Linked DNA regions of Caenorhabditis elegans. The protein of the gene in region 1 interacts with the protein of each later gene in a pairwise test. Each region holds a gene or a part of one and is shown in the gene's direction. Other genes may lie near its edges.

The links. Proteins that work in one complex are often made in the same cells at the same time.
Region 2: the proteins of syf-2 (region 1) and mfap-1 interact in a two-hybrid assay, tested with the Caenorhabditis elegans proteins (one study listed by BioGRID).

The regions. Positions count from the first base shown.
Region 1 is NC_003281.10:7,160,625-7,163,790, reverse strand, and holds syf-2 (Pre-mRNA-splicing factor syf-2), read left to right. Parts: upstream 1-1,675; coding exon 1,676-1,804; intron 1,805-1,851; coding exon 1,852-2,203; intron 2,204-2,251; coding exon 2,252-2,475; 3' UTR 2,476-2,631; downstream 2,632-3,166. Other genes in the region: K04G7.1 (Integrase zinc-binding domain-containing protein), read right to left, coding at 1-61, 179-503, 549-779, 828-937, 981-1,037; rnp-7 (U1 small nuclear ribonucleoprotein 70 kDa), read left to right, coding at 2,641-2,790, 2,835-3,017, 3,064-3,126.
Region 2 is NC_003279.8:8,638,011-8,642,226, reverse strand, and holds mfap-1 (Microfibrillar-associated protein 1), read left to right. Parts: upstream 1-1,990; 5' UTR 1,991-1,991; coding exon 1,992-2,149; intron 2,150-2,203; coding exon 2,204-2,993; intron 2,994-3,123; coding exon 3,124-3,396; intron 3,397-3,449; coding exon 3,450-3,629; 3' UTR 3,630-3,713; downstream 3,714-4,216. Other genes in the region: mog-7 (GCF C-terminal domain-containing protein), read right to left, coding at 95-366, 419-573, 618-756, 810-1,547, 1,599-1,700. UniProt on the Caenorhabditis elegans protein: Involved in pre-mRNA splicing.

The DNA.
Region 1 (3,166 bases):
GATATCCAACTGATTGATTTTTGTGTTTCTTCACATATGGTTGTCGACGGAACGTTGGCGGCTGCAAAATATTTTTTAAAAATTTGAAAATGCAAATATTGTGAATTTGGCAATAATTAAAGTAAATTTAAAACGATTTTTGCTTAGAGTTGTAGAGAATCTCAGATTCTTAACGTACCCCAGTCTGCTGATGGTTACTGTATCTGCTTCTGAATGCATGCTCAGTTTCTTTGAATGTATATGATGTCATCCTTGTAAATGATGCTTCGCGAACTTCATCCTCATTGTATCCCACCAATTGAAACTCAAATCGATCATTTCCGCTGGAAGAATCTCTAACAAGCACGGAAATATCAAAATGCTCAGAGGTAATATCCACAGGTGCTTTTGTTATTTTTCTGCCTTGTATTTTCTTTGCTGTACAAAAATCACAAGAGGCAATAAATGTTTTAACATCTTGTCGAACCGACCGCCAGTAGAGTTTCCGAAGCACGACCATCTGCCTATAAGTAACAATTGTCAGCTATTATTATAGTAGTTTTACTTACGTTCTTTTCTGCCCAAGATGACCAATAAGTTCGTGAATTCTCTCAAGGACTTTTTGAACTTCTCCTTTCTTCACTACTACTTTTGGAATAGTATTCGCAGACTTCTCGGGATTGTAATACAAAAGAGTTTCCCTATCGTCCGCCATTGAAAAACATTTACAACGAGCTCTCCAATGACTCGGCGCACTACGATCAAGACGAGAGGAGACACTTGCAGGAACTTGGTCCGTTCTGGAATAATGCTTTAAATTTATATTACTCAGGAAAAATTTTTTTTACGTTTTGAACATAACAATATCTTGATATTGGTCAATTGGCATTCCACCATATTCGCTTCCATCATGGGCTTCATAGTGAATACTGTCATCTTCATCATTTGCAACCATTTCCTTAAATTTGAATAAAGAAAATTAATGATTCAAGCACACTCACTCTCATATCATTCATATCGTCATCCACTGCAATTTCCTCATATCCTTCGACTACCATGTTGTCGTCAACTATCTCAGTACTGTTCATTAACATCATCAGCTGAAATTTAAATTAAAATTTTAAGAAAAAACTCAAAGTGCCCAAAACAACAAGAACGAACAATTGGAATAATGTTGAGTACTTTTAAATGGTCTATTATAAATATTTTTGAATTAAAATATATTTTTAATATGTTTAAATTACCGCCAGAGTGAGCAGAAAAGGCCCGAAACGTCACATATTGACGCGTTCGGTGTGACGAGCGCAAGACTAGACGACCGCGACGCGACCGCTACGCAGCGGAGAGAAAAGAAAATTGTGCAAGTGCGCTGTGTTGAACTACTCGCCCAGATTAATTTTCGCAATTTTGACTCGATTCTCAGCATTTTCAACTAGAAAATAAAGTTTTTATTTCCATTTTTGAACTCCTTATCGATAGTACCATGCTTATTTCTAAGAAAGCCTTCTTTGTTTCGCAAAGCTGGATAGTATTAATATGTTTTGAACATGTAACTATCGGTTTAAAAAATATAGATTGTAAATGAATTCAAATCATATCGGTTCTTCTTTTTCTGATGTTCAAAATATTCTGTATTCCGTTTCAATGTAGCTTTTCTTCTCAACTTTCTGGATTTCTCTTCAACACTTTTTCCTAGATGTCTTCCGAATCACAATCGAGCAGCAGTGGGCCGTCGTCCAGTGGATCAAAAATGAAGGATTTCAATCAGAGGTTCCGTGATCTTCACAAACTCCGCCAAAGAGCGAGAAAAGAGAATCACGAACAGGTTAGTGTTTTAACGTTTACATTTTCAATTATAATTTAAAATTGTAGGTCGTTGAAGAAGATCGTCGCAGCAAACTTCCAAAAAACCACGAAGCAAAAAAGGAAAGAGATCAATGGCAGGTTAAAGAGCTACAAGATCGAAAAGCTGCAGAAGACAAGGGATTGGACTATGAACGTGTTCGCAGTTTAGAGATGTCTGCAGATGTTACTGAGAAGCTTGAGCAAAAAAGAAAGAGAAAGAAGAACCCAGATCAAGGATTTACTTCTTACGAAGATATGACTCTTCGTCAACATACTCGCCTGACTGCTGCTCTTGATCCAGATCTTGATTCTTACAAAAAGATGAGAGAATGCGTTGGAGGGGAACAGTTTTACCCAACTGCTGACACACTTATTCATGGTAAGGAGCAAAACTCATAATTTCAAAGAAAAACCAAAGAGTTTTCAGGAAATCACTATCCGACAACTGCTGCAATGGATAAGCTCACTAAAGATGTTCACGGCCAAGTTAAAAGACGAGAACAATATCATCGTCGTAGACTTTATGATCCTGACGCGCCAATTGATTACATCAATGAGAAAAACAAGAAATTCAATAAGAAACTGGACAAGTACTATGGAAAGTACACAGAAGATATCAAAGACGATTTGGAACGTGGAACAGCTATCTGAAACCGAGGATCGCTTTTTTATTTTCTTTTTCAGACATTTTTTCAACTTTTTTTCTTCTTTTGTTTTGTTCTTCATCTTCCCATTCCATACTATTTTCTCTCTTCTATTCGATAATCTTTGTACCTACAAAACTCAAATAATAAATAAAAATTATTTTCAGGTGACATGACGGCATTTCTACCTCCCAATCTTCTGGCGCTTTTCGAAGCACGACCACCAGTGCAATATCTTCCACCATGCCAGGACCTACTAGTGGACAAAAATGCTAAAAGGGCTCCGATGACTGGAGTTGCTCAATATATTCAATTATTTGAGGTTTGAACGTAACTTTATTATTTTGGAAGCTATTTTTTTTTCAGGATCCGAAAGATACTCCAGCAAAAATCCCAGTAGTAACAAAAGCTGAAGCAAAAGAAGAAAAAAGACGACAAAAAGATGAATTGTTAGCATATAAAGTAGAACAAGGAATCGCCACGTGGAATCCAGCTGAGAATCCAAGAGCTTCGGAGGATCCATATCGCACTCTATTCGTTGGACGAATTGCACGTTTTTTTAAATGTTAGAATGTGTTTTAGTTTATATTTTCAGAACTATGAAACGTCTGAAAGCAAGTTGAGACGAGAATTCGAAGCGTATGGTAAAATTAAAAAGGTAAGTGTCTCGTTTCTTCCAAGTTAAGCTTTCATTGTTT
Region 2 (4,216 bases), on another chromosome or scaffold:
TTTTCAGCTATGATTATTTTTAGAAAGCACAGATATTGATATTGACAGATTTCCCACAGACCTGTCAATTAAACTATTTCAAAAAAATACGTACCTTCTGGCGTCACGTTCTGCTGCTCTTCCAGCGGCCTCACCCATTCTTGCATTTCTTCCCTGCATACATTCTGCATGTTGATCCCTCATGTCTTGTCTTCTACGTACCGAGAGTCTTGAAGTCCTGGATTTCCCACAATCTCTTTTCTTATCGATAATCGAATTAATTTCGCCAACTTTTTCATTCAGACATTCTAAAAGACTACGGGAATACACTCGTAATTCTTGATACATTGTGTATTTGGTACTTTGGTTAGGAAGCTCCATTTCAATCTGAAATTATTAAAAAATGATATATATATATAATTATTGAAATACTTGTTACCTTTGCAATCATTGATTTGTTTTCTTCAATATTTTGCTCCAATTTTCGTTTTTCTTCTTTTCTGAAATTCAATGCTTCATCTCGTTCTTGAATCCGCAATTTTAATTTAGCAAGAATATCTTCAATTTTTACAACTCCTCCGGTATTTGATGGTCCTGAAATTAATTAAAATTATTTGTCTTCAAACAAAATAATATACCAGTAAATTCCGGTTTTCCAATTACTTGAACATCCATATCAAGATCAATATCCATATCCATTGCTGTGTCATCTTCAACAGGAACTGTATGCCCAAATAATTTAGAAGTATTTCGTTTTTCTGTTCGCAGTTGGCCTATCTATAATTTTTAAATTTTCAGATTCACGATCTCTATTACCACAAAAAGCTCACCTCTCTCCGACTAACAGCTTTCCGAATTTGTTGTTTTTCCCATTCCTCATTTTCACTATCATCATCACCTTTTATTCGTTCAGCTTCATCAATATCTCCATTTTCTCGTTCTAAAAATCCTTCTTGTTCTTCTCTACGACGATCTTCTTCTGTTCGAAGTAGCTCACGAGCCGAATAGAATTTATTTGTACACTCTTCATCCGAATCATCATTCTCATCTTCTCGAATCAATCGATTTCGTTCACTTTTAGATTTAAGTTTTTGTGTGTCATCCAAAGGAATATATCCGTCTTGATTTCCCTCTCTTCTGGCTCGTTCTCGGCGTTTTTTTGCTTCGAAAACGGCACGAGAGTCGGGAATACCTTCAAAAGCAGAATTGAATTTATTGGAAACTGATGAAATTGCTTCTGCATCAATATCCAAATTTTCTTCGTATTCGTAGCTCTCCGAATTCGAAATGTGCTTAGCAGATTTGTCACGATATTTGTCAAGGTATTTATGCCGCTCATTTTTCGTCTTTTTGTCTTCTTTTGAGAGTTTCTCCTTTTTCACAATTTTATCAAGCGCTTCCTTACGAATTTTCTCTTCCTTATATAATTTTTCAGCTTCCTCCTCTAGTTTGTGTTGACGTTTCAATTCTTCAACTTTTTTCTTGTCTTTCTTAAGTTTGAACGTCGAATCAGCTCCTTCATCAGCATCGAAACTCATGGCTGGACGAGGCACAGCAGGTTGTTTGACCTTTAAATAAAAATTAAATTAAAAAGAATGTTGAAATTCATTAAAACTCACTTCGATAGCCGAGACTACTTGTTGGTTTTCAGCATCAGGTTCATCCCATCCGTCAGATTTCCGTTGGCGAATAGCACCTTTTGCCTTTGGTTTACGGAACATTCTGAAAAACGTTTTGAGTAAAAAAAAAAGAAAAAAATGAGCGTTTAGCAAGAAAATTTGGCCAAAATTGATATTTGAAAATATTTTCGTAAACGAGACTGTCGTAAGATGTGCTGTTGGGTCTGCATACACCACGTGAGGTACTCTTTATGCATTATAACTTACGAGCAATTTAATGCTTATTATTTTTTTCGAAAAATTCAATTAAAAATTTTACATATTTACTCTTTATTGTTTCTGACTATTTTTTGCCGAAATTAAAAAGGGTTAATTTTAAAAATAACTTTCAGAATGGGAGATTATGTACCTGGATTTGAACAACGCGAAAGCGATAATCGAAGTTTCGGACATTCGCGTCTTCCGACTCTTGGAGCCATTCCAATCAAAAATGAGAAAGGACAAACTGTTATGCAGAAAGTGAAAGTTTCAAGATATGTGGCTGGAAAGGCGTAAGTTTTTTTTCGTTTAATGGTTGAATTAGTCTTTAAAACATTGATTTTCAGACCAGAATATGCTCGTAACTACGACAGTGACAGCAGTGAATCAGACCGAGAGACAGATCGAGATGATGATCGAAGAAGACGTAGACGTCGTGAAAGTAGTGATGAAGAAGATAGAAGACGCCACAGAAGACACGAAGATTATGGTAGACGACGACAGGTGGAGAAGCCAGAAGTTCTTGGAAAAGTAGAGGACGAATCATCTGAAAATGAACAGGAATCTGAAGAAGACGAAGAGAAACAAGAAGAGAGAAGAGAAAGAGCCAGAATGAGAAGATTGGAATTACATGAAAATAACAGAGAAAAAGATGAAGAACAAGAAGACAGTGCTGAATCAGATGAAGAAGATTTTGAAAGAAGACGTCAAATGCTCAGAGATAGAGCTATTAAAAGAGAGGAAGAAATAAAACGAGAAATTAAAGAAGAACTTGAAGAAGATGATGTTGAAGAGGAGGAAGAAGAAGAAAGTAGTGAAGAGGAAGATTCAGATGAAGATGACGATCCAGTTCCAAGATTGAAGCCTATTTTCACAAGAAAGAAGGATCGTATCACTTTGCAAGAAGCCGAGAAGGAGAAAGAAAAAGAAATTCTGAAAAAGATCGAAGACGAAAAAAGAGCTGAAGAACGGAAGAGAGAAAGTGCAAAATTAGTTGAAAAGGTTCTTCAAGAGGAAGAAGCTGCTGAGAAAAGAAAAACAGAAGATCGTGTTGATTTGTCATCTGTTCTAACCGACGATGAAACTGAAAATATGGCATATGAGGCGTGGAAGCTCAGAGAAATGAAACGATTGAAGGTAAATTTTTGCTGCAAAATTTTGAATGTAGATCTTCGAAGTTTTTTTTTTGAGTTTTTTAATAAATTGACATAGAAATTTCTCAAAAAAATTCTCACTATAATATCCGATATCCAATTTTTTTTTGCAGAGAAACCGTGACGAACGTGAAGAAGCCGCACGCGAGAAGGCAGAACTTGACAAGATTCACGCAATGTCCGAGGAAGAACGACTCAAATATCTTCGTTTAAATCCAAAGGTTATCACTAACAAACAGGACAAAGGAAAATACAAGTTCCTTCAAAAATATTTCCATCGTGGAGCTTTCTTCTTGGATGAAGAAGATGAAGTACTCAAGAGAAACTTTGCCGAAGCTACCAACGATGATCAATTTGATAAAACTATTCTGCCGAAAGTTATGCAGGTAAATACTCGTAACTTATTATAGTGATAATTGAACTAAATTATTTATTTCAGGTCAAAAACTTTGGAAAAGCATCTCGAACCAAGTATACGCACTTGACAGAAGAAGATACAACAGATCATCAAGGTGTTTGGGCATCAACGAATCAGTTGAATTCTCAATTCTCCACGAAAAGAGCCGGAGGATCCAGACCAGTTTTTGAGAGACCTGCAACAAAAAAGCGAAAGAACTGAAAAAGCTTGCACATTCCTGAAAATCCCAATTTTTTGTACTTCGATTTCTATTTATTTGTTTTCTAAGAATAAAAAATGTTTCAGAGTAATTGTGCGATTAAAATACACCAGTACAATACGTGTTGCAGTAGCAATTATTCAACGCCAAAGTTCAAAGTTCTCGTCATACCAGCTAATGCAAAGGACAAACACAACTGTGTGTTCGAAACAAAAAAAACCAACAGACGGTTCGTTTCTCCCCTCATTTGGTTTGTGAACCTCTCCTATTCGGACTTTCAAATGTTTTATTGAGAATTCCCATATCGACTCTCGTTTTCATATTTTTCAAATGCATTCAACCTAAACGAGCCGCTCACCATTCGTCCTTGTTTTTTTCTATTCCTTTTCAAGGTTTTCGTCATCATGTTGTGAGGAGTGTGTTGTCGATCGCCACCTTTTCCGATCGGTCGACTCTTGAAAAGTGGTTTTGCGTTTTTAATTAGAAAAGGGTCATTGGCGTGTTTGTATGCATGTTTGCAAAGTGTCCTATTACCGGTACAGAGAGTGTAGATAGTTAGAGAGTGACAGACATCCGGGACCCAATGGGG